Stegostoma tigrinum: one gene and its partner. The protein of the gene in region 1 interacts with the protein of each later gene in a pairwise test. Links are inferred from orthologs where the notes say so. Each region holds a gene or a part of one and is shown in the gene's direction. Other genes may lie near its edges. The genes, in order: aamp and apoptosis-enhancing nuclease-like.

What was found.
Region 2: the proteins of aamp (region 1) and apoptosis-enhancing nuclease-like interact in binary tests that used the Homo sapiens proteins (3 or more experiments, as listed by UniProt). The link is inferred for Stegostoma tigrinum from reciprocal best matches to the Homo sapiens genes AAMP and AEN.

Annotation. Positions count from the first base shown.
Region 1 is NC_081360.1:104,050,798-104,067,393, forward strand, and holds the start of aamp (angio-associated migratory cell protein), read left to right. Parts: upstream 1-9,594; 5' UTR 9,595-10,039; coding exon 10,040-10,139; intron 10,140-15,631; coding exon 15,632-15,754; intron 15,755-16,367; coding exon 16,368-16,487; intron 16,488-16,596. Other genes in the region: si:ch73-71c20.5 (DUF4748 domain-containing protein), read right to left, coding at 2,129-2,321, 4,291-4,525, 9,552-9,588. UniProt on the Homo sapiens protein: Plays a role in angiogenesis and cell migration. In smooth muscle cell migration, may act through the RhoA pathway.
Region 2 is NC_081386.1:28,559,976-28,576,156, forward strand, and holds the start of apoptosis-enhancing nuclease-like, read left to right. Parts: upstream 1-9,897; 5' UTR 9,898-10,007; intron 10,008-11,311; 5' UTR 11,312-11,341; coding exon 11,342-12,115; intron 12,116-14,372; coding exon 14,373-14,573; intron 14,574-16,181. UniProt on the Homo sapiens protein: Exonuclease with activity against single- and double-stranded DNA and RNA. Mediates p53-induced apoptosis.

The DNA of each region.
Region 1 (16,596 bases):
GCAGAGATATGGGACTTGGCATGAATTCAGACACTTGCTTTCCAGGTTCATTGGTCCCAGTCAATCATCCGATCAGTCCTGGTGGATACCCTGTCTGGAGACCTCCAGACTTGACAATTCAGCATTGGAACCAGGACCAGAGCCAGACTCTATTAGATGGACTGAAGATACAGTTGGATAGTTTTCTGAAAGAAGATGGTAGGTGCATGGTCTGAATTCTGATGTGTCAAGAGAGATTGATCAGTTCAGACTATATTCACTTTCATTTAGAAGAATGAAGGGGGAATCTTATAGAAGCTTATAAAATCCCAAGAGGACTAGAATAGGTCAAAAGTAGGAAGAGTGTTGCTGATGGTTTGGGTGGGGGTGGTGGGGGCTGCGTTGGAAGTCCAGACCAGGGGTCACAGTCTAAGGAAATGGAGGAGGACATTTTGGATTGAAATGAAGACAAATGTCTTCATCCAGTGAGCCTGTGGAATGCCCTGCCACTGAAAGCAGTTCAGTAGAAAACACAATGTTTTTAAGAAAGAAATATAATTCTTAGGGTTAAAGGGATCAAAAAGAATAGGGTGAAAGGGGGAACAGAGGCATAAGTGGTCTGATTGCCCAAACCTGAAGGGCCGAATGGCCTACTCCTATTTTCTATGTCTGGTTCTTCAAGAAAAGAAACAGTTTTATAGATAGTAGGAACTGGAGATGCTGGAGAATCTGAGATTACAAGGTGTAGAGCTGGATGAACACAGCAGGTCAAGCAGCATCTTAGGAGAACAAAAGCTGATGTTTCGGGCCTAGACCCTTCTTCAGAAATTGGGGAAGAGAAGGGGATTCTGAAATAAATAGGGAGAGAGGGGGAGGCTGATAGAAGATGGATAGAGAAGATAGGTGGAGAGGAGACAGACAGGTCAAAGAGGTGGGGATGGAGCCAGTTATATATTCTGTCATGGACTTTTAGACCGTAAGACATAGGAGTGGAAGTAAGGCCATTCAGCCCATCAAGTCCACTCCGCCATTTAAATCATGGCTGATGGGCATTTCAACACCACTTCCCTGCACTCTCCCTGTAGCCCTTGATTCCTTGTGAGATCAAGAATTTGTTGATCTCTGCCTTGAAGGCATCCAACGTCCCGGCCTCCACTGCACTCCATGGCAATGAATTCCACAAGCCCACCACACTCTGGCTGAAGAAATGTCATCTCATTTCAGTTTTAAATTTATCCCCTCTAATTCTAAGGCTGTGCCCATGGGTCCTAGTCTCCCCGCCTAACGGGAATAACTTCCTAGCGTCCACTCCTTCGAAACCATACATTATTTTGCCTGATTGTGGCTCAGTGTCACCTTCTAGTGGTTGTTAAACATATGACAACTTTTCAACTTCAACAGAATTGCACTTGACAGCATAGGCTGCTCACGGGTACTAAGAAAAACGAAGTTGCTGGAAAAGCCCAGCAGGTCTGTGAAGTAAAAAAAAGAGTTAATGTTTCTGGTCTGGTGACCCTTCCTCAAATGTGGGAGGGGGAAGGGAGTTCCAAAATAAATAATCTAGTTTTGATCTCCCTTCCCCCTCCCCCATTTCTGAAGTGTTCTGACCGGAAACGTCAACTTCCTGCTCCTTTGATGCTGCTGTGCTTCTCCAGCTCCCTGCTGTGTTATCTCTTGCAGCATAGGTTGTTTGGCACAATATTACAGTAACAGCTCCTTGTTATAACTCAACAAATCCAACTGTCTCTCCCCCTTCTCATAGCCCTTTATCTCGTCCAAACTAATCCCATTGCCCTGCTTGTCTTTCCCATAGCCCTGTATCAATCCCCAAACTAGTCCCACTACGTGATGGTCATAATGTACAACCATCGAAGATACAGAGCTGTCTTCCGACACACTTGTGCAGAAATTAGGTTGTCTGATAATTAGATGTCAGGTCAACACAAATATAAACTTTTCTCCTCCATCCCAGCACCCCCACTATCAAGAATATTCCCAGGATGTGGGGAAAAAAAGCCAAGTCCATAACTGAGTTTGTCCATTGAGTTTCTTTAATAATTTGAGAGTGGGAGAGACTGAAGACTGGCAGCCTCCCTGAGGGCAAGTGGGAAGCGAGAGGTGCTGGGCATTTTGACCATCGGCAGGGATTCTATGGTTTACTTTGTGAGGCGATGATCTGCCGGTCATGTTCCTCCAGCTTGGACTGGTATCGTTCACTCTGGTATTCGCCTTCATTGGCATTCTTTATCCTCTGCCTGATCTTCAACTGTTTCAGACGGTTCTTATCAACCTCTCGTTTAGCAAGGAGAAAGGTGATGATGCCGGATGGCAAACCAATTAACCTGGAGGAGAAACGAGCAGGGAAATGGGTAGGATTTACAGGACAATTTGAAAGCTGCCAATGTGAACTCAGCAGAACATAACAGCAAAAGCAGATAACAAAAGATAGCAAGTACTGGCCAGCTTCACTTACACTGACCCCTTGACAGACCCACCCTTAACTGGCTCACCTTAGTGCGGACCTGTCACTGTGTAACTGACCTGTCCAGTCACAAATGCCTATCAACCATCACTTTTTGCTTCTGTCCCCGAGCCAAATTTGGACAAAGCTGACACCTTGCTTCGGATTGCTTGTGATTTTAATTTTCTGGTCAGCACCCCTCGCCCCTCCTGATGTGGGACTTGATACAAAACTTCACAAGAACGAATGCAGGTGACATCAATCCTACTCACATCATTGAACTGAAATTGCTGGAAGAACTCAGCAAAACCAAAGAAGGGTCACTGAACCCAATACTTTGACTCTGCTTTCTCTCCACAAATGCTGACAGATCTCCTGAGGTTCTCCAATGAGTTCTGTTTGTATTTCTGATTTTCAGCATCCATAAATTCTTTGTTTTCTTTTATCCAGCTCATGAAACTCCCTTGTTACCTCATCGTAAAACCGAATGGAATTAGTCAGACAGGACCTTCCCTTCTCAAAGGGATAATTAGATGCTAGGTCAACGCAATGGCGAACTTTTCTCAAATCTGTCCTGATTGTTATTTGGAAAGACTGATCAAAACCAATATATGACATTAATTTCAAATATTGAGAATAATTAAGGTAGACTGATTGAGTAACTACAGGTCAATCTGTCCTTTTTCAAACAATAATGCAACACAGGTGAATTATCCACCTGAAACAGATGCTAAACACATAAATATTTCATTTGTTACTTTGCTTTCAGTATTCCACACTTCACTCTGTTCCCTGCTTACAAAGCACCATTTCCCTCAGTTGTAAAGACAGACTCTAGCAGGCCAAGGCCCCCTGTGATGACCTAGGCCTCTTTGTGCTGTCAGTGCCGTTGGTTCCCTTTCCTGTAAATTTTGTGCACCCACACAGACCTTGGTGTCAATCATTCAGAACTCTCTTCCTGAAAAGGTGGTGGAGGCAGAGTCTCTGTATCTTTTCAAGATAGAGGTGCCAAGCAATTGAGGTGAAAGGTTATTGGAGTTCGCACAGCTGTGGTTAAAGTCAAATCAGCCGTGACCTTATGGAATGGCCTACTCCCGTTCCTAATTCTTATGTCTACACAAATCTCCGTTATTGTGGACATTCACTTTAGTTGGTAATATAGAAAGGTGAGAGTGATGCCCCTCAAGTCCTGCTAAAGAAACAATGTTGTTAAACTTCAAAGGATTCAGAAATGACCCATAAGGATGCTGTCAGGGTTTAAGCTGTACGGAGAGGCTGAATCGGCCAGGAAAATACTTTCCCTGCAGCATCAGAGGCTGATGACCTTATGGACATTTATAAAATCATGAGGGGCATAGATAGGGTAAATAGTCAAGATCTTTTCCCCAGGGTACAGGTGTCCAAAACTAGGGAGCATGGGTTTAAGGTGAGAAAAGAAAAATTTCAAAGGGACCTAAAGGACACCTTTTTCACGCAGAGGGTGGTGTGTGTATGGAATGAGCTACCACAGGAAGTGGTGGAGGCTGGTATAACTAAAACATTTAAAAGACATCTGGATGGATACATGATTAGGAAGGGTTTAAGAGGAATACGGGCCAAATGCTGGCAAATGAGACTACATTCATTTTGGATATCGGGTTGGCATGAATGAATTGACTGAAGGATCTGTTTCCATGCTGTACAGTTCTATGACTCTTGGTGTGGATCAGTGAATTCAGACTGCAAGAGCCTTATGGCCACTAGAAAGCCTGCCATCATTGGCTTCAGATCACAAAGAACTGACGGGTGGGAACTGTGATGATCAGAACTGGTCTCCCCTCATCTTGTACTCACATTCTACACATTCTTACCAGGCCAGGCCGATCTTTCCCATTGGATTCTTGGCTCTCCGTTGTGGAATGTATTCTGGACCCTGTGGGATTGGCTTTCCAGGAGCCTCTTCTGACCGCAACACTGGTCTGTTGCCATGGTTACAGTGGATGGATTGTACACTGTTTCGCAGAACTGTGGCCACACAACTGTGCACTGGCAGGGGGGTGCCAGGGGCACAGGCCCCGAACTTGGACAAACAGCAGCTCCAAATGCCTGGAAAAATAAAGACAAATGGGTCAAGGTGATTGTTGAAAGGTAAATGAGAGCAATGCTGAGTCCAGGCATCACTTAGCCTGAGGCAGTGACACAACCAGAAACATGGTAGTAATCTGACTAATCTAGTGAAGCCACAGGCACAGGTGAACACTCTGGGTTCATGGGTTCAAACCCATTTACGGTCCCTGATGGAATTTGAATTCAATTAATAAAACTGAAAATGAAAGCTTGTCTCAGTGACTGTGAAGAGATTTCATTTTGTTATTAAAACCCATCTGTAGGAAGAATATTATTAAATTGGAGAGGATCCAGAAAAGATTTACCAGGATGTTGCTGGGACTGGAGGGTTTGAAGTGTAAGGAGACTTTTGTCACTGGAGCATAGGAGGTTTATAAAATCATGGATTTGGTCAACAGTTTTGAACTCTCCCTAGGGTGGGAGAGGTCAGAATTAGAGGGCTTAGGTTCAACGGGAGGGATGAAAGATTTAAAAGGGACCTGAGGGCCAACGTTTTCACACAGATGGTAGTTTGTATGTGGAATGAGGAAGTGGCAGACACAGATACAGTTAAACATTTAAAAGACATTAGGTACACGAATAGCAAAGGTTTAGGCTAAATGCAGACAAGTGTGACTAGGTCAAATTGGGAACAGGGTTGGCACGGACAAGTTGGACTTAAGGATCTGTTTCCATGCTGTATGACTGTTGCCGTACATGGTCCATGAAGAAGGGAATCTGCTGTCATTATCTGGTCTGGCCCACACATGAATGTAGACCCACAGCCATGAAGCTGATTCTTAACTACCCTCTGAATTGGCTGAGTAAGGCACTCCCTTCAAGGAAAATTAGAGACATGCAAAAAAGCTGGATATGTTAGCGAGGCCCACATGCCACAAACTGTCACCGTCATTTTCACACTCTCCCTCCCTTTGTCTCCTCACTACATTAAACCTCCCAGGAACAGCAGACTCCTAGCACCATAACCGATTGATCAGGTTTGACGTGTGCTTACACAGTAATATTTGGTCTGTAACTAAGATGGGGCATATACCAACTGAGCATCAGAATTGACAAGCTGTCTTGCGCGCTGTAGGTCCCATCAGCAATAAATAGAAAGGGTGTTGGAGAGCAAATTGGACTGATCATTGTAACCATCTACTCCACAATGTCAGCGAGCCTGAACACATCTCTCAATCTACATCCTGGGGGTTATCAGCATTGCAAAGGGATCATTCCCTGCACACAGTGGCAGGATTAACAACAACGTCAAGGTTAGGTCTGAGAGAACAGAGTTCAGCAAGTTCTGCAGTTGACAGGTGACAGTGAGTGAGGGGAGCAAAAAAATTAAGGAGTCTCATCAACAAGTAAGAAGACAGAGGGAGAGGACCAGGTGAAAGGTAGGGAGAGGACCAGGTGAAAGGTAAGAAGAGAATATAGGTCAAAGCATCTATGAAGAGGCCTCCTGTGTAAACAGCTGGACACAGAGGAGAATGCAATGGGACAAGATGTTCAACAACATTCCATGGTGATGTTTGTTGAGGTAAAAGATGAAAAGGAATAAATTGGAGTCCCTGAATTCTTCAGCAAATAACTCACCTCCTGACTCCCCAAAGCCTGTCCACCACCTACAAGGCATAAGTCAGGAATGTGATGCAATACTTCCCACTTGCCTGGATGGGTACAGCTCCAACAACACTCAAGAATCTTAGAATCACATCCACAAACATTCACTTTCTCCACCACTGACACTCAGTTTTAAGCAGTGTGTACTATCTGCAAACTGCTGTGCAGAAATTCATCAAAGATGCAGAGACCGCACTTCCAAACCCACGATCGCTTCCATCTAGAAGGACAAGGAGGACTGATACATGGGAACACCGGCCCCTGCAAGTTCCCCTCTGAGCCACTCACCATCCTGACTGGGAACTATATTGCCATTACACTATGTATAGTGAAACACAGAAAATAGGAGCAGCAGTAGGCCATTCAGCCCTTCAAAACTGCTCCACCATTCAATATATCAACAGCTGATCATCCAACTCAGCACTCTGTTCCTGCTTTCTCCCCATATCCATTGATCTTTTTCGCCCCAAGATCTTTACGTAAAAGGTACAGTGACCATAGTCCTCCCAGGCCATAGTACTGTCTCTCATTAAGACAGAGAGACAACTGATGGTGGTTTAACCTGAGAGTCACTATGCCTCATGTGAAGGGAGAGGTTGAGAAGCAGTGTTCCTCACAACAATAAAAAAAACCTGAATGAACTGTGGATGCTGAAAATCAGAAACAAAAACAGAAGTAGCTGGAGAAACTCAGCAGGTCTGGCAGCATCTATGGAGGGAAAGCTGATTTAATGTTTCAGGTCCAGTGACCCTACTTCCAAACTTCGGTTCATCACATTTGAAGGGAATTCCACAGACACATCACTGTGGGCAATGAAATTTGGTCCTAGAGATCTACAACACAGAAAAAGGCCCTTTAGCCCATCACGTCCATACTGGTCAAAAATAACCACCTCACAATTCTAATCTCATTTTCCAGCACTTGGCCCAGAGCCTTGTATGCCTTGGCATCACAAGTGCACATCTGTATATTTCTTCAATGTGATGAGGGTTTCTGCCTCTACTGCCCTTACAGGTAGTGAATTTCAGATTCCCACCACCCTTTGATTGAAAAAGATTTTCCTCACATTTAAGACCGTAAGACTTAGGAGTGGAAGTAAGGCCATTCGGCCCATTGAGTCCACTCTGCTATTTAATAATAGCTGATGGGCATTTCAACTCCACTTCCCTGCACTCTCCCCGTAGCCCTTAATTCCTTGTGAGATCAAGAATTCGTCGACCTCTGCCTTGAAGGCATCCAATGTCCCGGCCTCCACTGCACTCTGTGGCAATGAATTCCACAGGCCCACCACTCTCTGGCTGAAGAAATGTCGTCTCATTTCAGTTTTAAATTCAACCCCTCTAATTCTAAGGCTGTGCCCGCAGGTCCTAGTCTCCCCGCCTAATGGAAACAACTTCCCAGCGTCCACCCTTTCTAAGCCACACATTATCTTGTAAGTTTCTATTAGATCTCCCCTCAACCTTTCAAATCCTAATGAATACAATCCCAGGATCCTTAGCCGTTCATCGTATGTTAAACCTATTTCCGTGAAACCTTCTTGCCTCTTCTCTTAATGCTATGTCCCCCAGTCATTGATCCCTTGATCACTTCTTCGTGACCACTCGATATATGGCCCTCATAATTTTACATATCTCAACTATGTCCCTTCTCAATCTCCTCTGCAGGAAGATAAGTTAACCTGGTCTAGCAAGTTTTGAGAAGATTTGTATATAACTCTTCTTATATCTCTTCATAACTGAAACTGTCCAGCCCAGGCACATCCTGGTAAATCTCCTCTGCATCCTCTCCTGTGCTATCACATCTCTCCTACAGAGTGAGCTCTAGGATTGTACACAGTACTGTAGCTGTGGCCTAACCCAGGTTTTACACACTTCAAGCATCACCTCCCTTCTCTTATAATTGGCCTTGCCTTGGCTAATAAATACACGTTTATCATATGCCTTCTTGATCACTTTATTCACCTGCCCTGGTAACTTATGGGACCAATTTACATACCAAAGTCCCTCTACTTTTCAGTGTTCCCCAGCTGTCTTACCATTCATCGAGTATTTCCTTACCTTGCCTGTCCTGCCTCAGTGCACCATCTCACATTTCTTCTCACCTCAGTCTGAAATGGCCTACTCCGTATCCTTAGACTGTGACCGCCTGGTTTTGGTCTCCCCCACCATTTGGGAACATCCTTCCTGTGTTTACCCCTGTTAGAACTATCTATCAAATCCCACCTCCTTCTAAATTCCACTGAATATAATCCCAACTGATCCAGTCTCCCTCTATAACTGAATGTGTGATAGATACTCCCTGTTTCCCTAAGACGCCTCCTCCATGAGTGACCTTCCTCAAAGGGAGACGGGGATTTACCTCTACTACCAACCTCCGGATACAACGCATTATCCTCCGACACTTCCGCCATTTACAATCCGACCCCACCACCCAAGACATTTTTCCATCCCCTCCCCTGTCAGCTTTCCGGAGAGACTACTCTCTCCGTGACTCCCTTGTTCGCTCCACACTGCCCTCCAACCCCACCACACCCGGCACCTTCCCCTGCAACCGCAGGAAATGCTACACTTGCCCCCACACCTCCTCCCTCACCCCTATCCCAGGCCCCAAGATGACATTCCACATTAAGCAGAGGTTCACCTGCACATCTGCCAATGTGGTATACTGCATCCACTGTACCCGGTGTGGCTTCCTCTACATTGGGGAAACCAAGCGGAGGCTTGGGGACCGCTTTGCAGAACACCTCCGCTCAGTCTGCAACAAACAACTGCACCTCCCAGTCGCAAACCATTTCCACTCCCCCTCCCATTCTCTAGATGACATGTCCATCATGGGCCTCCTGCACTGCCACAATGATGCCACCCGAAGGTTGCAGGAACAGCAACTCATATTCCGCCTGGGAACCCTGCAGCCATATGGTATCAATGTGGACTTCACCAGTTTCAAAATCTCCCCTTCCCCCACTGCATCCCTAAACCAGCCCAGTTCATCCCCTCCCCGCACTGCACCACACAACCAGCCCAGCTCTTCCCCCCCACCCACTGCATCCCAAAACCAGTCCAACCTGTCTCTGCCTCCCTAACCGGTTCTTCCTCTCACCCATCCCTTCCTCCCACCCCAAGCTGCACCCCCAGCTACCTACTAACCTCATCCCACCTCCTTGACCTGTCCGTCTTCCCTGGACTGACCTATCCCCTCCCTACCTCCCCACCTATACTCTCCTCTCCACCTATCTTCTTTTCTCTCCATCTTCGGTCCGCCTCCCCCTCTCTCCCTATTTATTCCAGTTCCCTCACCCCATCCCCCTCTCTGATGAAGGGTCTAGGCCCGAAACGTCAGCTTTTGTGCTCCTGAGATGCTGCTGGGCCTGCTGTGTTCATCCAGCCTCACATTTTATTACCTCTACTCCTGGAACAGGTCCTCCCAGCTACTGCCATCTTGATCCTCCAGAATCCCGGCAAGCAGCGGGGAGCACGGCAACTTCCTCACGGCTCATGCGCAGATACAGCCGCTGGTGAGACGGGACTTCAAATTCACGATTCGACTTGATTTACTCCAACGGATGACACTTAGGAGCGATCTGGGAAGAAAGACTCCATGAGGAGGAATCAGAGACGGTTTGCCCTCCATCAAGGCAGGACTACAACTCCCAGGGAGTCCCGCGGCGTGTAGACGGAACCGAACCCCGGATATTCCTTTCCTCACGGTTGTCCGGGTGATACCGAAAGCCGGTTCTGGATTGGCTGGAAACGTTGTCAATCATACATTGACCTTCCGGTTGGTGAGTCGGGCCTCGACAGGGCGCCTGCGAAAAGCCGCCTGGTCAACATGACCGGGTTAAGTCAGTTAGTGTAACTAGGTGAGCGGTAACTAGGGACGTGAGGGAGAATGGAAGAGGGGGAGCTGAGCCCCCAGCTGGAGTTACACCAAGGCGAGGAGATTGTGGAAGTGATCGAACTGAATCCCAACCAACAGCCGCAGGAGGAGGGTAAACATAGAGAGGGGGAGGGGCGTTAATGTGTAGGTGGGGGGCGAACATGCGTAGGAGGGGGCGGGGGGGAGGCGTATGGGGGGGTGAACACGCGTAGGAGGGTGGGGGGCGACTTATGGGGGGGCGGGGGGGCGACGTATGGGGGGGCGGGGGGGCGACGTATGGGGGGGCGAACACGTATGGGGGGGGCGAGGGGGAGACGTATTGCGGGGGGGCGAGGGGGAGACGTATTGCGGGGGGGGCGAACACGTATGGGGGGGGCGGGGGGGAGACGTATTGCGGGGGGGGCGAACACGTATGGGGGGGGCGGGGGGGAGACGTATTGCGGGGGGGGCGAACACGTATGGGGGGGGCGGGGGGGGGCGAACACGTATGGGGGGGGCGGGGGGGAGACGTATTGCGGGGGGGCGAACACGTATGGGGGGGGCGGGGGGGGGCGAACACGTATGGGGGGGGCGGGGGGGGGCGAACACGTATGGGGGGGGCGGGGGGGAGACGTATTGCGGGGGGGCGAACACGTATGGGGGGGGCGGGGGGGAGACGTATTGCGGGGGGGGCGAACACGTATGGGGGGGGCGGGGGGGAGACGTATTGCGGGGGGGGCGAACACGTATGGGGGGGGCGGGGGGGAGACGTATTGCGGGGGGGGGCGAACACGTATGGGGGGGGGCGGGGGGGAGACGTATTGCGGGGGGGGGCGAACACGTATGGGGGGGGCGGGGGGGAGACGTATTGCGGGGGGGGGCGAACACGTATGGGGGGGGCGGGGGGGAGACGTATTGCGGGGGGGGGCGAACACGTATGGGGGGGGCGGGGGGGAGACGTATTGCGGGGGGGGCGAACACGTATGGGGGGGGCGGGGGGGAGACGTATTGCGGGGGGGGGCGAACACGTATGGGGGGGGCGGGGGGGAGACGTATTGCGGGGGGGGGGCGAACACGTATGGGGGGGCGGGGGGGAGACGTATTGCGGGGGGGGGCGAACACGTATGGGGGGGGCGGGGGGAAGACGTATTGCGGGGGGGGCGAACACGTATGGGGGGGGCGGGGGGGAGACGTATTGCGGGGGGGGGCGAACACGTATGGGGGGGGCGGGGGGGAGACGTATTGCGGGGGGGGGCGAACACGTATGGGGGGGGCGGGGGGGAGACGTATTGCGGGGGGGGGCGAACACGTATGGGGGGGGCGGGGGGGAGACGTATTGCGGGGGGGGCGAACACGTATGGGGGGGGCGGGGGGGAGACGTATTGCGGGGGGCGAACACGTATGGGGGGGCGGGGGGGAGACGTATGGGGGGGGCGGGGGGGAGACGTATTGCGGGGGGCGAACACGTATGGGGGGGGCGGGGGGGAGACGTATTGCGGGTGGCGAACACGTATGGGGGGCGGGGGGGGGAACACGTATGGGGGGGCGGGGGGAGACGTATTGCGGGGGGTGAACACGTATGGGGGGGCGGGGGGAGACGTATTGCGGGGGGCGAACACGTATGGGGGGGCGGGGGGGAGACGTATGGGGGGGGCGGGGGGGAGACGTATTGCGGGGGGCGAACACGTATGGGGGGGGCGGGGGGGAGACGTATTGCGGGTGGCGAACACGTATGGGGGGCGGGGGGGGAACACGTATGGGGGGGCGGGGGGAGACGTATTGCGGGGGGTGAACACGTATGGGGGGGCGGGGGGGAGACGTATTGCGGGGGGTGAACACGTATGGGGGGGGAGACGTATTGCGAGGGGTGAACACGTATGGGGGGGGAGACGTATTGCGGGGAGACGTATTGCGGGGGGTGAACACGTATGGGGGGGGAGACGTATTGCGGGGGGTGAACTCGTATGGGGGGGGGAGACGTATTGCGGGGGGTGAACACGTATGGGGGGGGGAGACGTATTGCGGGGGGTGAACACGTATGGGGGGGGAGACGTATTGCGGGGGGTGAACACGTATGGGGGGGGAGACGTATTGCGGGGGGTGAACACGTATGGGGGGGGAGACGTATTGCGGGGGGTGAACACGTATGGGGGGGCGGGGGGGAGACGTATTGCGGGGGGTGAACACGTATGGGGGGGCGGGGGGGAGACGTATGGGGGGGGTGAACACGTATGGGGGGGCGGGGGGGAGACGTATGGGGGGGTGAACACGTATGGGGGGGGCGGGGGGGGTGAACATACAGAGCGGCGGGGGGGAAATGTATCGGTGGGGGTGAACATATGGAAGGGCGGGGGGGGGAGATGTATTGGGAGGGACAGACGTACACACAGGAGATGTGCGGGGGAGGGGGGTGTGATACCTGGGGGAGGCGGGGATGAAGCGCACAGAGGGGCAGGGGCTAGATGTATCGGTGGGGTGGACGTACACGTGGGAGATGTGCGGGAATGGGGACGTGAAGTGCGCAGAGGGGCCAGGGCGAGATGTATCGGGGAGGGGGGTGCGTGAAACGCCCAGAGGAGCAGGGGCGAGATGTATCCTTGGAGGGGGGTTGTGAAACGCCCAGAGGGGCAGGGGCAAGATGTATTGGTGGGGGGGGGGGGGTGGACGTACACGGGGGAGATGTGCGGGGAGGGGGCCGTGAAGCGCGCAGAGGGGCAGGGGCGAGATGTATCGGGAGGGGTGGACGTACACGGGGGAGATGTGCGGGGAGGGGGCCGTGAAGCGCGCAGAGAGGCAGGGGCGAGATGTATCGGGGAGGGGGGGGTGCGTGAAACGCCCAGAGGGGCAGGGGCGAGATGTGTCAGCGGGGTGGACGTACACAGGGGAGATGTATGGGGAGTGGGGTGTGAAACGCACAGAGGGGCAGGGGCGAGATGTGTGGGGGGCTGAATGTACGGTGGCGAGATGTATAGGTGAGGGCTGGTGAACGTATCGAGGCGTGGGGCGTGATGTATGGTGGGGTAAGCGTATTAGGGGGAGATATATCAGGAAGGCAGTGTGAAATGCGCAGGGGCCGGGGGGTATGTATCGAGGCGGGGGTGAACGTATAGAGGGCAGGGGGAGATGTATTGGAGGGGTGAACGTAGTAGGGGGAGATTTATAGGGACGGCAGTGTGAAACGCACAGAGGGGCAGCGGCGAGATGTATGGGGGGGCGGGTGGGTGAAACGCGCAGAAGGCAGGGGCAAGATGTACGGCGAGGGGGGCGTCAAACACAGAGGGGCAGGGGCGTGATGTATTGGGGGGTGGACGTACACGCGGGAGATGTATTGGGAGGTGGTTGTGAAACACACGGGCAGGGGCGAGATGTAAGGGGGGTGAACGTACACGGGGGAGATGTATGGGGAGGAGGGCGTGAAATACACAGAGGGGCAGGGGCGAGATGTATTGGGGGGGTGGACGTACACGCGGGAGATGTATTGGGAGGTGGTTGTGAAACACACGGGCAGGGGCGAGATGTAAGGGGGGTGAACGTACACGGGGGAGATGTATGGGGAGGAGGGCGTGAAATACACAGGGGCAGGGGCGAGATGTATGGGGGGGTGAATGTACGGTGGCGGGATGTATAGGTGAGGGCTGGTGAACGTATAGAGGCGTAGGGCGTGATGTATGGTGGGGTGAGTGTATTGGGGGGAGATATATAGGGAAGGCAGGGGGTATGTATAGAGGAGGGGGTGAACGTATAGAGGGGCATGGGGAGATGTATCGGGGGGTGAACGTACACGCGGGAGATGTGCGGAGAGGGGGCGTGAAACGCACAGAGGGGCAGGGGCGAGATGTTTGGGGGAGGGGAGTGAAACGCACAGAGGGGCAGGAGCGAGATGTATGGGGGGGTGAACGTACATGGGGGAGATGTATAGGGGAGGGGGGTTGAAACGCACAGAGGGGCAGGGGCGAGATGTCTGGGGGGCTGAATGTACGGTGGCGAGATGTATAGGTGAGGGCTGGTGAACGTATAGAGGTGTGGGGCGTGATGTATGGTGGGGTAAGCGTATTAGGGGGAGATATAGGGAAGGCAGTGTGAAACGCACAGGGTCAGGGGGGTATGTATGGAGGACGGGGTGAACGTACAGGGGGCAGGGGGAGATGTATCGGGGGGGTGAACGTAGTAGGGGGAGATTTATAGGGACGGCAGTGTGAAATGCACAGGTGGGCGGGGCGAAATATCTAGGGGAGGGGGGTTTGAAACGCACTGAGGGGCAGGGGCGAGATGTGTAGGGGAGGGGGGCTTGAAACGCACTGAGGGGCAGGGGCGAGATGTGTAGGGGAGGGGGGCTTGAAACGCACAGAGGGGCAGGGGCGAGATGTGTAGGGGAGGGGGGCTTGAAATGCACAGAGGGGCAGGGGCGAGATGTGTAGGGTCGGGGGGGTGAAACGCACAGGTGGGCAGGGGCAAGATGTATAGGGGAGGGGGGCTTGAAACGCACAGAGGGGCAGGGGCGAGATGGGTGTCAACACATGGCTGTGATATACAAGTGAGAGACAGTGCAGGAGACGTGCTCAGATCTGGGTGCATGGTGGATTCTAGTGGGCAATGTACTCTGGGTGTAATGGAAAGTGCTCGGGCTATGGGGGCAGCATGACGAAGAGAGACTAAGTGGGGTGCTTGGGGAGTCTGATGTACTGTTACGCTCAGCGTTACCTGAATGTGGGGCTTGATGAACCCAGGAGCTTCTCATTATGACCATGCAACAACACTGTGTCATGACTCAATTGTGCTCAAAATCATGCATTCTTTAGTTGTTTGCAAGTGTGATGTACTAGAAGCACTAGTTCACTGTTGAGGTTGGTTGGCTCGCCAAGCTGGTTTGTTGTTCCGCAGACGTTTCGTTACCGTTACTGCTACGGAGGAAACCCCAAAGTGAGGCAATCCATCGCAACGGACCCCAGAGTTTAAAAGCCAGGCGGGAAAACACACCGACACTTCATCAGAGGCTGCACAGGGGATGTTACCAAGCACGGTAATGAAACGTCTGCGGAACAACAAACCTCAACACCCACACCCTGAGCTACAGATCTACTCCAAAACCTTAGGGCTAGTTCCATGTCATGTCACCTGTCAGGGTGATCACAAGAACTATCACTTGAGCCACCTGTTTGTAGTGCAGATACACCCACACCTACCACAGCAATGGGTTTAAAAAAAAAGTCCATGGAATTTGGGGCATCACAAACTGGGCCAACATTTATTGCCCACCCAAATTGCCCAGAGGGCAGAGCTTTGGGCCTGGAGTCACTATAGGTAGATGTCAAGTACAGCAGGTTTCCCACCCTAAAGAACATTGGTGAACCTGAAGTCTTTATATATCAATCAACAGTGATTTCACAGTCACCATTAGGGCAGCTCTTTGTTTCAGGCTTTTGTTATCAAATTCAAATGTCACCATCTGCCACAGTGTGATTCAAACTCATGTCCCCAGAACATTGTCTTGGCGTTCAAGGTGATTAGTCCAGTGATGTTACCCCTGCATCATGATGTCTGGTTGTCCCTCTGATTCCTACAGACTGTGATGTGCTAAGATATGAATCAATCTTCTGACCTTTTCATCTCCACATCTCTGGCCAGATGACCTACTGAATGATGTGGAAGAAGATGATGATGACGATGATGGGGAATGGGAGACCGAAGATGATGAGAACATGGAGGTGGTACGAGATGACAGTGATCTGACTTTCTCCAGGCACACAAGTAACTGAAAAGTTTTTATGTGGGACGTGGAGCTGCTTACTTGGGTGGGTACTGCAGGGTGGAGTTGGGTGGAGGCAATGTAGATATTATCTCAGTCAAATATTTGAGGACCTCTGGGATGTTTATCAGGTGAATCTAACTCTACAGAATATCGAGTTTCTCCAGGTTCTGAAGAAGTCATGTCAGACTCAATGTTAACTCTGGTTCTCTGTCCTTAGATGCTGCCCAACCTATTGAGTTTTTCCAGCATTTTATTTTTATTCCAGATTTCCAGCATCTACGGTGTTTTGGTTTTATTTGGTTTTGTTGGTAGGCTGCATTTTGCACCATCTCCTCTGTTCTCCTCGGAGAGTCCAGTAGAATTCCTGCTCATATTTGTTATCTGGTGACTACTCAAGAGCCTGTTGGATGCTGAAGGAGGGCTGAATCTGATGAATCAGAATCCCACTGAGCACTTGTGCTGTTTGGAAGGACTAATTCATGAGGCAATTTCCTCATTTGGGTTGACTGGGAACTCCTGTGGTGCTGCAGTCCAGAGAATGGAGAATTGATGGGAGGAGAGAGGAGGCATAAAATGAGCTAATGTTAAAGCATACATCCTTGTTATTTCCAGAGGCAGTATTCTGCTTGAGTTTGGACCCGAAGAGTAATTCGTTGGCAGTGACTGGTGGTGAGGATGATACAGCCTTTGTGTGGAGATTGGCTGATGGTGAGGTGCTGCTAGAATGTACAGGTAAGTATTCTAAACAGGTTCAGACCTCTCACCTCTACAATGGTGCTGTTCATTGCCAGAGAGAGTACAGAGGGAGCGCTGTGCATGTCAGATGGTCAGTATTGAGGGA
Region 2 (16,181 bases), on another chromosome or scaffold:
GAGATAAGAAGGTGTGGAGCTGGATGAACACAGCATGCCAAGCAGCATTCAGAGGTGCAGGACGGCTGACGTTTCAGGCCTAGACCTTTCTTCATAAAATCTTCATTTTCTGAAACCCACAATTTCCGGCCATACATTCCAGCTGCTGCAAAGTGGGATTAAGCTTTCCTCTGGAGCACACAGTGGGCAGAGTGGCCTCTCTGTAGATTTGTCTAAATATCTATGGAATGAAAACGTGAATGGATATAGGAAGGAAAATCAAGTTAACTGCACATTCGCAGAACCAGCAGGGGGCACTAAAGGTCAAATCTGCGTTCTGATTCTATTCCACGGAACGTCAGCCTATCGTTGACTCAACCAGTGAACAGTCGGACTGTGAAGAGTTCTCGACATACTTTTTAAAAAGTACAGAAAATTAGCTGATCCCCTGGAACTCACTAACCTGCTTAATTGAAAAATAATAAATAAATCCTCAATCTACTCGGGCTATATTAGAGATTAACTAATATCCCCAAGGATTGGACGACGGAGATGAAACCCTTTTCAAGGAGTTCTGAAAGTTTTTTTCTGGTGAAGCCACAACATTCGGTGGGTGTCTACTGTTCTCCTATCCTGGAGATACTGATGGCACTGCAGTAGGTTTTCAGTTAGTGACAACCCTTCCACAACCACAGCCTGGTTTCTCACTCTTCACACAGGAGTCGAAAAATCTGATTTTCAACATGCTATTCAACCATGACTGGCATTCCCATCCTCAACGATTCGTACGCACATACGTATAAAATAAGAAAAGGCGAAGGCTATTCAGCTCCTCTAGCCTGCTCGACCATCGGTAAAGATCACGGCAGGTCCGGTTGCGGTCGCAACTTTCCCGTTCTGTTTGCCCCTATCAAAAATCTAACTCTGCTTTGAATAACTTCAGTAACAATGGTTTTACTGCTTCATGGGGAAGAGAATTTCAAGACTAATGAGGGGGCAGAATACCTCAACTTCATGTTAAATGGGAGGGTTTTTAAAAAAACACTATCTCCCCGGTTCTGGTCTCTCCCACCGGGGGTAACATCTTTTCTGCATCCACCCTGGGGTCGTGTGTGTAAAAGATACATGCAATGTCCACCGGAGTTCACACCATAGGTATTATGAACGAAATTTCAGTAACTATTTCGGCTCCGACCTCCTGACCAAGCAGTCGGAGATAAGTAAATCGTCACTGAAGCAATAATGATAGGCCCCCGGCGGAATGACACCTTCCCCGTCGTTTATATCGTACATTTCTCAAACACACCCATTTTGGCGGTTACATAGCTGTTTTGCAAAAATGGGAATATTTATTTTCGATTGCCATAATCCTAGCTCTTCCAAAACAGCAGTAACTTCACTTTTCCCCAGTAACCAAGACCACATCAATATTAAATCATATGGACAAGACTTGAATGATCAAAAGGCAGTATCGGGGTAAGAAACGTCAAATGATTTAAAAATAAACAAAGAAAATCACCGTGTTCAATCCCTGCACATTCCGTCCCTACACTCTAAATAAACCCATAAATCTAATTTTAGTTGCTGGTGCCATAAGATTAAATAATAAATCTGAAACCACAGCCTCAGGGTCAAAAATCTCCGGTCGCCCATCCGAGTACAGCGAGGTAACTGACGGGGATTGGTTCCACCCCTCCACAAAAAATCTTGATTCGCCTTGATTTAAAATAAAATGCACAGGTTTTAAATACTCTTCTTGTTTTCTGTTAAAACTGCTACTTACGGCTGGGGCTGAGTATTCAGTGCAGGAGTCCCATCGAAATGTATCTTTCTAAAAGCGAACGGGTACAATTGAGGGGAAAGACTGAAACTGACTGTTGGGCTGGGCCTCGCCTGTCAACAAAGGCAGGGCGGAGCAGAGAAACATTGATCGACGGTGAATCTGACCAATCCTCAAAGCTAGAGTGTGATTGACAGTTGGGAAATTACCCATTGCGGGCTCGAGAAGGCGGGCACTCGACAAGTTTCAAGTGATCAAGACAACAAGATGTGAGGCTGGATGATTATCTCTGATACTAAGTTTCAAGTGAATCTAGGAAGTGGTTGTGGAAACGGGGAGGCCAATCACCTTACAAGGCTGCTTGGCTGCACAAGTCGTCCACGATTGATCCATACCTGGCTTTCTATTTAATCCATGTACCTCAATAATTTTACTTCTTAAAAAATTCCATCTTTCAGTATTCAGTTTGATCTTTAACATTCACATCCTGAGGATGGGACTGTTTTAGATTTTAACTAACTTTGCATGAAAAAAGTTATTTCATGGGCTGTCTGGTCTATTCTGTTTCTCTACTTAAAACACAACAATCAAGAGAAGTAGGCCATTCAGCTGCTTAAGTCCACTCCACCATTCAATATTCATGGCTGATCAGCTTCAACACTTTCCTGCACAAAATGCACTGCCATTATTTTTCTCCAAAAATCCACACATCTTGTCTCGAACATACTTGATAGCTGATCCTCCACAATTCCAGTGGCAACTCATTTCAAAGATTGACCTCTGAGTAAAAGAATTCCCTTTCAACTCCGTCCAAAATGTCATGTCCCTTTTTCTGAGACTGTGACCCTTGATTCTAGACTTAACAGTCAGAGGAAAAATACTGCATTTACGTTGTTGAGCCCATTGTATAGGGTCTGATAAAAGGGTTAAATCAGAGAGGTGATATAAGCCCACCTACTAATGTGATGCCAAATGGACTTGTGGGAAGAACAGCTTAAGATCTTCGTACAACTTTGTAGTCTCTGTAACAACGTCTGTCATATCAATGTAACTCGTTATTAGTTGCTTATTATGCTCTAAGCTAGTTCTTGTTCAATGCAAGAGCCTCTTCTAGGTGGATTGGGAAACGTTTTTCTCCATCAAATTAAGAATAAGTATCTACTCAGTCTAAAAGAAGATGGTGGAGAATTTACCACGTGGTGAGATGCAGACTCAGCTTCACTCCAAGTATGAAATCGTGAGCACTGGTGCAGATTTAAATTAACTTCAAATATAACAGAATCCTGTAATAACTTTGAATGAAGATCACTTTTCATCCTTCTAAACGTAACAGAATAAAGGGCCTGTCAATTTAATCTTTCCTCATAGCATACTCTCACCATCCCCTCAATTAATTTATTCCTGAATGGCCACATTCTTATTTTAAGATTATGTCTCTTTGTTCCCTAGATTCTGCCACCAGATATATCACTTGAAGTGAGTCCCATATCTGCTGGGCATCATGATTTGTGTGTGCTCAGGTGACTTGGCAGGTCCAACATGGAATCACAGATTCTTGGAGGTTCACGAATAAGGAGTTTCTCAGAGTAGGGTATGAAGTGTAGTCAGCATTGCTATGTGTTTAACAAGTCAATATCCATATGTTGATACAGGTGAAGCAAAAGGGCTTGATTGTAAATGCAAAGCTTAGTACAAATACAACTTTCCCTACTTTACCTGTCCAGAAGCCAAGACCCCAGTGGGGAAGAATTCAGCATTTTTTTCCCCACCACCAAATCATCCATGGTACTTTTCCTCTATTATCCACCATCAATATATCACCTATTTCTAACCAATCAAATTACACGCAAAGCCCAACATGCGCAATGAAGATTTCAACTCTTTTTCTTTCTTTATATATCCAGAAGCACTCTCATATACAAGTGAACTTTTTCTTGCCTATCACTGAATCGCTCGCTATATTTTCCCATGTGTTAACCCACCAGCAGTAAATCACTTGTGTTTTCCAACTGATTAATTTACATGCAAAGCCTGTTTAGGGCAATGTAGACCATCAAAGGAGAAAGACAGAAGCAGCTAAATCAAAATAAAGTTGGAAGTGGAGATTTCAACTCTTAAATAAAAGTCCAATGAGCATTGCCTGCTCTCAACCAACTTTGGAGCGTTTTTTTGTTAAAGGGGCCTTATTTTCGAAGACTGACATCATGCAGAAATTGCAAAAACCAATTTACAATTACAAATTCACACAGAAAACTCATACAAACAGTAACATGTTAACATCCAGATAAGATTTTTCTGTGATACTGACTGAGGAATAAGTATTGGCAGGACACTGGGGAGCACACCCTGTTTTCTTCCAAAATAGTGACACGGGATCTTTCACATTCATGTGCACTAGGAGCTAAGGCCTCAGCAATGTTTCATCCAAAGAATGGTCCTCAAACACAATGCAGCACTCCCTCAATACTGCACTGAAATGTCAGTCTGGGTTTCTCATTGTAAACATTTTCCATTTGGTGCACAAGAGTTAGATTTTTAGATTTTAAAGACATTAAGGTGAATGGGCAGAGTTTAGGAATATAGCAATTGAATGAAGGATCAGCCATGATCAAATTGAATGGCTTTCTCTTGCTTCTAGTTTCCATGTTACAATCCGCCATCTCCCACTTTTTCTTTTGTGTTCCTGAAGGGACTGATGTATGTTGGGATTTTGGTTTGTTTACAGTTACACAGCATACTTCCTGTTCCTTTGTGACTACTGTGTCTATATTGTGGAATTCCCCAACTCTCAGATTTGCAGAAGTATCTTCAGGACATAGACAGCAGTGGTTCAATAACATGGTTTATGTTCACATTTTCATCAGCAACTTAGGATGGGCTATAAATGGCGTGCGTGTTGAAAAATCCCACTTTCCAAGAAAGTCAGTTAACACTTCAGGTGGGTTAGTTTTCATCACTGATGTGAAATATTAACCCTGTTTCTCTCTCCATCCTACTGCCTGTCCCAGAGTATTTTTGGCATTTTCAATTCAGATTTCCAATGTTTGGAATATTTTACATTAGTTCATCAGCTGTGAGTTTGGGGTACCAGTTACTTTTGCCTTGAGTCAAAAGAATGCTTCAAGATGTGTCCCAGATACCTGGGCACAAATGTCTAGGCTGACATGCTGGTGCAGTAGGGACTGTGCAGGCTCTGTTCTTCAAAATTACATTGAATTAGTAAACTGGAGTGATCAAATCTGAATGGAAATTAAAGGCTTCAAGAATACAGGTAGATAGCATGTGTCTGTTCAATGCTGGATCTGAGGGTCTAATCTTAAGGCTCTGCACCAGAAACCGAGCCCTCTGGCAGAGTCCAAATCAGTAATTTATACTTTGTTTTAAGTAATTCTTTTTAATTTCTCTTCGCTGACATCCATGCTGTTTTGGAACTTTGAATGCTAGACTGAATTATACTTTCATAAAGAAAGGTATCAATTTTAAAACTGTATGAAATGTTTATGGTTAATATGCAAAAAGGATGGTTTGATCATTTCATATGTTCAATTTCCACTCATAAAAAGGAAGATGGTGTGGTCTTGCTTCAATTGTAAATTGGGATAACTACTACGCCTGAACCCCAGGGACCCTCTGACTGCATAGAATCATATTTTAAATTTACGAGTCACTGAAATTTCATTTCTATCTGTTCTGAATCCCAAATGACAGTAATTATACACTATTTCAACTGTGTTGAAAGCAATCTACAATTAGACCCGTGGTGATGTCTCATATAAAGGGACCCAACCCTATTACTCACAAAGCAAAGGAAAACTCATTACAGGTGTTAAAAGGTGTTGCGTGCCTTTTATAAAATATCATAGGTTGCAAAAGGTTAAATTAAGAAGTCAACGTCCAGGGAATTTATAGAGGGTGTGAGAAAAATAAGTTAGACTTTTAATCAGTGTTGAGTGTAGACCAAAACATATTTGTATCTGTACTGATGAAAGGGATACCTCTGATGTTGGAATTCTACAGGGGGAGGGAAAAGAAACAAGCTCAGGCTAACAAAAGCAGTGAGTATCTGAGCCATCTCAAACAAAAAGACCACCAAGTCTGTGCTAAATTTGTCACTTTCAATTGGCAATTCAACATCAGTCCACTGAAACAAGTTTAAAAACTTTCATTGATGTGGTGCCACTCACAAGGAGGGCTCTCATGACACAGTGAAATGTCCTTACCCCTGTATCAGAATACCTGGGTTTAAGCCCCACCTGTTCCAGAGGTGTATACTAAAAGCATCTCCACAGATTGATTAGGAAATATTTAGATGGTGCTTTTCATCACAGAATCACTGAGTTATTACAATGCAGAAGATACCATTTAGCCTATCATGCATGCAAAGAGAAAAAAACTGAGGGACTCGAACACAAAACCTGGAACAGCTCAGTGGGTCAGACAGCATCTGCAGAGGGAAAGAGAGTTAACATCTCACATCTGGGACCATCTCAGGCTTCAAACATTAACTCTTCTTTTCCTCAGCAGATTTCCTTGACCTGTTGTATTTTTCAGGTTTTAATTGTTTGTTTGGTGAATAGAGGGACTGAATCTCACACCTGAGAAAGGATCAAATCACTAATCAGGGAATGGATTTTGCAGCAAGAGCTGAAAACAATGCTTCAGATTTTGCAATATTTAATCGGGGGAATTTTCAGTTGTCTTGAGGTGCCTGCATTCCTCCAGTTTTGACCCTCTTGCACATCTCTGATTTCCATCCATTCATGATTGGTGAGAATGTCTTAGGCCCTAATCATTGGGTTCCCTCCCTCAACCTTTCCACAAACCCACATCTTTCTTTGCTTTTCAAACACCCTTTGAAACCCGCCTCTTTAACAAAACTATTGCTCCCTATCCTAACATGTGACACAACGTCGAATGCCATTTGATAGCACACCTGAGAAGCGGTTTGACACATTTTGCTGTACAGCATTAAATGTGTTATTTCAATGCAAGTTAATGCACTTTTTAAAAAAAAGTGTTGGCAGACCAATGCATCAAATGTAGCCAGGCAGGGGCAGAAACAGAAAACATGGCTTCCCAGTCTGAGCACAGCCAGCCCTGTAGAAGAGAAAACTAGTAAAATTTGCAAATGATATATGGTGGTCTGACTCACCTTGCACACATTAAAATGGAGCTCCAAAGTGATCAGTACATTCATTTCCAAGTATTACTTCTTTCTCTAACTGTTTTTAATCCCCTCTAGCTGTTTATTGGACCCGATGTACACCCCATCTTAAACCATGTAGCCAGGCAATTGTCAAAAATTGTAACGTCAAGACCGCAAGGGGAAATGAAAAATATTAAGAACTGTATGTTTTTATGTGTGTGTGTGTGTGTTGCAGAATGTGTGAATAGAAAGGGTAGAATGTGAAAAACTGAAAAATCTACAGTACCAGCTGTACAATGGTGACATCTACTGTCCAAAATCTTTAGCGTCCCACTGCTTCATATGAACTGGTTTTAAGCAATAGGCACACAGACGTTTGAGAAGTAAATAAAAATGTACCTGGATTGTTGCAGTAAGAGATGTGAATCAAATTGCAGTAAATTAGGTTGACACACAGGTCAACACAAATCCAACTGCATAGCAGAGCGTGTTCAGAGGCTGAATGGACTACTTCCGTTGTTGTGGGAAATAAAGGGAATTTTATGGAGTCATACAGTACAGAAACAGACCCTTTGGTCTGACTTGTCCACGTCGACTACATTTCCCAAACTAAACTTGTACTATTTACCTGCATTTGGCCCATATCCCTCTAAACCTTTCCCATTCATGTTCCTGTCTAAATGTCTTTTAAATGCTGTAACTGCACCTGCATCTATCTCTTCATGACAGTTCGGGATTTGAACCACACTGTGTGAAAAAGTTGCCCCTCAAGTCCCTTTTAAATCTTTCTCCTCTCACCTTAAAATTATGCCGTCTACTTTTGAACTCCTCTTCCCTGGAGTAAAGACCTTTGCTCTTCACCATGATTTTATAACCACTATAAGGTCACCTCTCAACCTCCTATGATCCAGGAAAATAAAACTCCTATTCTATCCATCCGCTCCTTCTCAAAACTCAAAACCTCCAGTCCCAGTAACATCCTGTTTTTGTAAATCTTTTTGACAGGGTAAATGTTGAGAGGATGTTTCCACTTATAGCAGAGTCTAAGATAAATGGGCATAGTCTCAAAATTAATAGATGCCAATTTATTACCGATATGACGAAGAATTTCTTCACTTAAGAGGGTTGAGGGTCTTTGGAACACCTTGCTGAAGACAGCTATCAACTATTAAGCCGACAGATCAGTAGGATTATGAGGAAAGGGCAGGAAAATGGACATGAGGAGTGTTGGATGAGCCACGGTTCAACTGAATGGTGGACCAGGCTTGATAGGCTTAACAGCTTAGTCCTATTCCTATTTCTTATGGTCTTATAAATTCAAACTTTTTTTGGAGCAGAAATCAATGTTAACAGAGTTTCAATCAGCAATTCAGGTACAAAAGACTGCAGTCTGCTTGATGTTTTTGTCAGTGAATCACAAACTTGTTACAGTGCCAGGTCTCTAAATGAGCATCTCTACAAAATAAAAGCAAAATACTTTAGCTGTTGTAAATCTGCAATAAAAATGGAAAATCCTGGAGAAACTCGGCAGATCTAGGGCATTATCTGTTGAGACAGAAACAAGATTTACTATTTGGAGTCTGACATGACCCTTCTTCTGAACTAAACAATGGCAGCTCCATGGAACTCTCTCACTCCAGTGGGAGAAGCATTCAAGAAAGTGTTTAAGATCTTGAATGTTTCCGACAAGCCCAAACGGTGGAGGAAGCATGTTAAAATCCAAGCATCCTGCCAGCTTCTTCAACACTCAGATGACCCTGCCATGGTAAGGTATGCAGATCCAGCACTGGGCTGTGAATCACCTCATGACCTGCAACTCTGGAGTGGATCTCTCAACCTCAGAGGGACTGACGAAGACTTTACAGTCAGTGTCCCTGGCCTGACCCTCAAGGCTACTCTCAGCACCTACCTGACACTGAAGCTGCCATTGGTCCGACCCCCAAACTTGCCCTCACCTCCATGTGACCCCCAAAGCCCGTCCCCACCCCATTTGGCCTCCAGCCGCTGGCGGCGCTGTGCGCAACTCAGGTGCCTCTCGGATTTCCCTCTTGCCCCTTTGTACACTTAAAAAAAAATTCCCCCAAAAGAGATATTAAAGCATATTGGCCAAAGGCAGCTATACCGAGACCGGTCATGGAGCAGCCACGATGCTAATGACCTTGTGGTCTTATCGCTAGAGTGTTAATCCAGACATCAAGGTAATGCTCTGGAGTCCTGGGTTCGAATCCCATCACGTCTGATGTTGAATGAAATAAAAGGGGATCCGGAATTCAGAATTTAATGATGACTGTGAAACCACCGTCAAGTAAATCCCACTTGGTTCACTAATGCGCTTTAGGGAAGGAAATCGGCCACCCTTACCTGCTCTGGCCAATACTTGACTCCAGACCCACACCAATGTGACTGACTATTGAGCAGTGAGAGATGGCCTTTCCGCCCTCTCCCTGACAACAGGGACCAGAAAAAAAATCCACGCCTGACGTAACGAACCTGATGACGACGGTGAACAATAGCCAATGGGAATCCAGGAGATTCAGCTCAGCCAATCAGAAGGCATTGAGCGTGACGGCTCCTCACTAGTCGTGCACGGAGCTGAGATGCATTTACCAATCAACTGTGTGGGACACGGCGTCCAATCAGAGAGCGGCATCGGGTGCTACCCAATCAGTGCGCAGTAGCCGCGGCACGGAGACCAATCGGAGCGCGAAATTGAGGGCTAACCAACCAGCATGCAGCTGCGGCGGCACAGCGGGTAAGTAAGAAGACCAGTCAGCATTCAGTAACCTTGGCACGGCGTCCAATCGGAAGGCGGGGTTGAGGGATAACCAATCATCGTGCAGTGACTGTGGCACCGCGGCCAATCGGCGTTCGATTTGTCGGAGGAGGCCAATCGGCGAGTGGAGACCTTAAACCAATGAGCGGGCGGAGCCTGGAAAGCATGTGGCAGAAGCCGGAGCCGGTGGAGCGGCGTTTGAGGGAGTGTGGGGCTTTGCGTTGACACCGGATGTTTGGTCGGGGGGAGCTCCCGGCTACCAGCGGGGCCTGCTGTACGCCACCGAGTCTTCAAGGCTCGCGGTTCGTAATCCTCGTCCCGGAGGCACGGTAAGGCTCAAGGGTTAATTTAGGAGCAGAGGCCTGTCTCTCTCCTGAATTTACAAGGTTAGAGGATGATCTGATCAAGATCAGGAAATGACAGCGTGGATTAAGAAAAAAAATAAATCAGTTACTAACAGAAATGACAGGGTACGTAGAAATAAATTATCTTCGAGAGGGAGTTGAAAACAAGTTGCTGGAAATGCTCAGCAGGTCTGGCAGCATCTGTGAAGAGACGTCAGAGTTAACGTTTCAGGTCCAGTGACCCTTCCTTTTCGAGAGGGCATATCCTGACAGCAGGGGCCAGACCCTTGAGGAGAGATTTCGTGAAGTATTTCCACACCCTGAGGGTGGTAGAGGTTCGCAACTCTCTGCCACAAACGGCATTGGATGCTGCATCAGGTTTTAATTTTATGTCTGTGATAGATTTTGTTCCCCCCCCCCCCCCCCAAACGTACTGAAGGATGTGGGCCAATGGATATAGGTCACAGATCAACCAGCATCTTAGTAAATAATGGCAGTGTCCCAAGGGGCCGAATGGCTTTCTGCTGATCAGTGTAGGAGTGCCGCACTGTCAGGGTGTCAGCGCCGAGAACGTCGGCACTGTCGTCAGTTTCTGAAAAAGATGGTGTGTAAATGCCAGCCCCTCGGCTGTGATTCACATTTTAAATGTTGTCAAACAGAGCTGAGTCAAAACCCTAAGTCCTCCTTCGTAAGCAGCATTTTGGATGCATCTGCTCAGCTATGACTTGCACACATCTGGATAGTGCCTTTCCACTATCTTCTGGAGGAATGTTTGGGTTGGGCAGCCAGATACTGGTCTAGCCAATGACACCCACACCTCATGAACGAGTACAAAAAAGTTGCATAATAATCACTGGGGGAAATGACCAGTTAATGTTTTGGATTGTATTGTTTGAGAGATAATAAGTAGTGTGTATATTCCTGTCCCCTGCCCTTAAATAATGCCACATGATTCTTTTGTCTGAACAGGCGGTTGGGGGGATGGGCTGAAGAAGGTATTTCAGACGATTTATCACTCGGTACTTCACTGATGTGTCAGTGTGGACTATGTACTAAAATCCACAAATGAAACCTAAGCTTCTTGCCTGGTAATAATGTGAAAGTTCTGGCAACAAATTAGTGAAGTCTAAATCACTATCTGGCAGAGCCTGATGATGAAAAATATTAAACTTACCTGTGCTGAGATTCATTAATATGCATTGACTGTTTCCTTCTAAACTCAGGGGACTGATAACTTGTTATTACTAGGAGTCTCCACTTAATTTAAGGGACTTGTGTTGATTTTGCAGATTCCAAGAAGTCTCCATTTGGACTAAAGAATGCCAAGTGTAGTTAGCATGCGTGTAGACCCTGCTGTACCCTCTTCTGAAGTCACAGACTTCAGGCTGCTCCCTGCATCTTCCAGGTTAAACCAGTTCCTCTGCTGCTCACCTGTGGCTGCAAGCCCCGATGGCCAGACCAAGCGCAAGAAGATACCAAGCCGGAGGCATGTGCGTTTCCTGGAGAGGAAGGCTTTCCTGGAGAAGGAAGGGATTCTCAAGCAGGGTCACATGAAAAGGAAGCAGCGACCTTTGAACCAAACAAGCTGTCCGAGCATCAGTAACCCAAACTATACACTACAGTCTGGAGATGCCACGCGATCAGGTGGTTCTGATGTGAATGGAGATCAGTCCCATCTGATTGGTGCTTCCAGTCCATGGCCTGAAGCTGAATGGAGAGATGTTCACTCTACTTGCTCTTCGAAGTTCATGGACCAGAGTGATAAAACTTGTCCTTTAGAAAGGAGAAATCTGCTGAATCCTGAGGACCTTTATGGGCTGCCACAAGCTGCACTCCTGTGCCAGACAAGTCTGTCACCCATCTGCTGTAATCCTGCCAAGTATGTGGCAATTGACTGTGAGATGGTTGGAACAGGCCCCTGTGGGCGTGTTAATGAAATGGCCAGGTGTAGCATCGTGAACTATCAGGGCCTAGTCATCTATGACAAGTATGTGAAGCCTAAACAACCCATCACGGATTATCGGACCCGCTGGAGTGGCATTCGAAAATGGCATATGGTGAACGCAATTGAGTTCAATGTTGCTCGGAGGGAGGTGGGTGTATTAAACATGTTGAATGTTGCATTCACTTAATACCCATTATCCCTTAGTCTGGAATTAATGAATTCATCACTCACTCCCTCTGGCCTAACATCCCTTATGCAGTGCTGAAAGACAACCTGTCTTTCAAGTAAGACATTACACCGAGATCCCGATTAAGTTTTGTGGTGCGGGGTTGTATGCAGAGAATCCCAGAACACTACTTTGCAGAGGACGAGGTGTATCTTAACTATTTTTTTGACCAACTTGACCCCAGTGTCTTGACCAATTTTTATCCCTTGATTAGCATTACTGTGCAAGAGTATCTACTCATTGTCACATTGTTTGTAAGCTCTGTAAATTGCTGGGTCTACAGACCTGCAGTTCCCTGGGGCATGTTATCAAAGCTGAAGCAGTGAGCGGTGATCACAGAAATGCTGCTGCTCACCCTGTTACTTCCCTAATGTATTTCATGTAATCACTGTTCCAGCCATGATGGGTAGGTCCTGCAGTATGAAGTAGACACATCCAGTTCACTGATATCTGACAGTAAGGATTTGAATCAGAAGCATTATTAAAACGATCTGTATGTGCTCTATTTTCGTATCTTTATGATGCTCACGATTTGTACTTTAGATGTTATAGGGTAGGGGGATTGAAATTGATGTTTGAAAAGGGGGTTCCTTTAACTGGAGAACATTTGAGAATTGCAGGTTCCCACGGATTCTGAGAGTTGATTCAATTCCAGAAAACTGCCAGAAATAATGTTTGGTTCAACCATATCTGATGATGTAATAGAACTTGTTATCAAAATATGAAATAAAAACAAAAAAGTTGCAAAAATTCACCAGCTCAAGCATCATCTACGAGCAGAGAGCAAAAAAACAGATTTAATGTACCTATTCTAGTCAAACCAATAAACCTACTCCAATGTGACTAACAGGCAACCGACAAACTGCAGACACACCACTCCCATAAAACAATTAAACCTTGTATCTTATTAAGAAAAATTATATTTGGTGTCAGTACTACCATAACACTTTGCAAGTTTCGAGGGGTTTTGTATTTTGAGTAATTTTCTTTTATTCATTAATGGGATGAGCATGTCCCTGGCTCGGCAGCATTTATTGCCCATCCCAACTTCAGAGTCAACCACATTACTGTGAGTCTGGAGTCACATGTAGGCCAGACTGGGTAAGTATGGCAGTTGCCTTCCCTAAAGTATGTTATGAACCAGATTGGTTTTTCCTGACAATCAACAATGGATTCCTGGTCATCATTAGATTTTTAACTCCAATTATTTTACTGAATTCAAATTTCATCATCTGCCATGGTGGGATTCGAACCTGGGTCCCCAGAACATTATCTGGGTCTCAAGGTTAACAGTACAGCGATAATACCACCAAGCCATCACCTCTCATTTATAGTGACTTCCCTTGTATGTGAGGTAGAATTGGAGTACAGCTGTGGTGAAGGAAGAGGACGTGATTATGGCTGGGCATTTTCAGCCTGCAGGGGTTTTGCCCAGGTCTGATGACACATCTGCGTGGATACAATTTAAAAGCACATTCATTCTGGGGGATGTCACTCTCAATATCTATTTATTCCCCCTCTCTTAGGAAGATCAGCCTCTGTCTTGAACTGTTGTCTGCGTGGTGAAAGGACACCTATAGTGTTATTAGATAGAGAATTCCAGGATTTTTCACCTAGTGACAATGCAGGAATAGCCATCGTGTGCCCAAACTTCTTAGGGGAACTTGACGTAGTAGATGTGGAGATGTCGTTCCTGCTTTTGGGACAATCCAAGACAAAAGTGTGTAATCGCTGAAATCCAAAGTTACACCACACCAGGTTATAGTCCAACAAGTTTATTTGAAATCACAGCTTTTGGAGCACTGCTCCTTCTTCAGCGCTGAGACTATAACCTGGTGTTGTATGATTCTGCCTTTGTCCACCCCAGTCCAACATGGCACCTCCACATGATAATCGCTGAGTAAGGGATCACCCATTTAAGACCAATGAGGATGAATTTCTTCTCTGAGGGAGTGAATCAGAGGGTACTGGGGTGAAAGGCAGGAAAGTAGAGTTGAGGATTATCAAATCAGCCATATTGTTATCTAATGGTGGAACAGACTCAATGGATTTGAGTGGCCTACTTTTGGTCTTGGGTCTTCGTGAGCTCAGTTAGAATAGTGCATGACAGGGGTGGGGTGCAAGCAGGGTTAGTAAATCTGAAAGGTAATAAACATGTTAAATCTGTGCTTTCATTTAGATTTTGAAGATACTGAAGGGTAAAATTGTTGTGGGCCACGCATTGCACAATGACTTTAAAGCACTGAAGTATTTTCATCCGACATCTCTGGTAAGGGACACGAGTAAGATCCCATTGTTGAAGCGGAAGGCTGGCTTTCCTGAAAGAGAATCCGTATCCCTGAAGAATCTGGCGAAGCAACTTTTGGGTAAAAGCATCCAGGTGAGTATATGAACTGACTATACGTTTACTCTGGGAGTTCTGTTCCACAATGTGGGACTGAGGGTGCATCAGAGCTGGAACACACACAACATCCATGTGGCAGTAAACCTTGGGTTCTGCCTTAGCTATACTCCCCCAGCATGTGCATTGATTGCACAATTCAACAGGAATATTGGAAATGGGAATAGGCTATTTGGCCCCTCAGTCATGGCTGATTTTCCAACTTGGCATCATTTTCCTGCCGTAACCCCACATTCCTTGAAGACTTTAAAGTTTAGAAGTTCATTATTTATCTTGGTGGGATTCAGTGAGTCTACTGAATTACTTCACTGGCTTTTGAGGATAGAAAATTCTAAAGGTTCACCACCTCTGAGTGGAGAAATTCTTCTTCTCTTTATCCTGAATTGCCTACCTCTTCTGAAATAGTGTCCCCTTGTTCTAGATCCCTCCAGCCTGGGGAACATGCTTCCAGCATCTAGCCTATTAAATCATGTAAGAATTTTGTATACTTCAGTTAGATCACTTCTCATTCTTCTAAATTCTAGAGAATACAGGACAGGCCTTCTCGATCTCTCCTCATAGGACACTCCCAAGGATGAGTTTCATTGCACACTTACTATGATAAGTATATCTTTCCTTAATTAAGGAGCCCAAGATTTTGGGTATGGTCTTGTCAAGACTTTACCAAAACCTTGCATTTACGTTGTGCTTGCAAAATCTTAGTTTGGTCTTTTCACGGCAGGTTACTGTTGAAGTGCATTTGGGTAAATGTAATTGCCAGATAGTACATCCACCACAACAACTAGACAAAGTTTCTTCTAACTTCTCAACTCTCTTCCTCGCTCCCAAACCCACTGATAAAATTCCATCACCTCCGACATGGATTATCTCTGCTACTGCACTGAAATGTGGGCCTTGATTTTGTATTTCGCTCCTAGGGTGGCTCGAACACATTACAAGCTCAGAGACGAGTGTTATCGACAGAATGCACGGGGAACTTACTGGCCTTACGTAACATGCAAGATTCCCTCTAATCTGCGCAGTTGCACACACAGGCGCAGCAGTTCTAAAGTTCCACGATAGGCATCCAGCACTCCAATCGCAGTTGTAGCTTCTGGTTATGGAGGTTGCTGCCAAGCGCAGACTTCAGAGGCCTTTACAGCCAGAAAGAAAATTAGAGAGCATGTTGATAATCTATCTGCATTTTTGCTCCATTGGGAAATCGGATCCGTTCAGCCATGAATTCTGCAGGATGTTTCCCCGACTCCCTTCCTGATCAAGTTAAAACCTGGGCCTGTCAGCCAAGGGGGCTTCCATTCCTGCTGCTTGTATCTGTAGAGTTGCGTATGTCTGGTGAGAACAGTGTAAGATTTTACATGGTGCCCCTCATAGTTGAAGTGCCTGCTGCCACTTCTCAAAACTTATGTATGTGAATTGAGCCCTTGGATAAGGTAATGTATATGGTGGGTTTTGTTTGCAGTTGTGGATCTGTGCTCTGTCAGTTGGGACTTCGGGGACAGAGGTGGGTGATTTTATTAGGAATGGTGTCAGGGAAATGATTTTCTCCTTGGTTTGCTGTCATTAAGGAGACTCAGAGTGCAGAGTTGA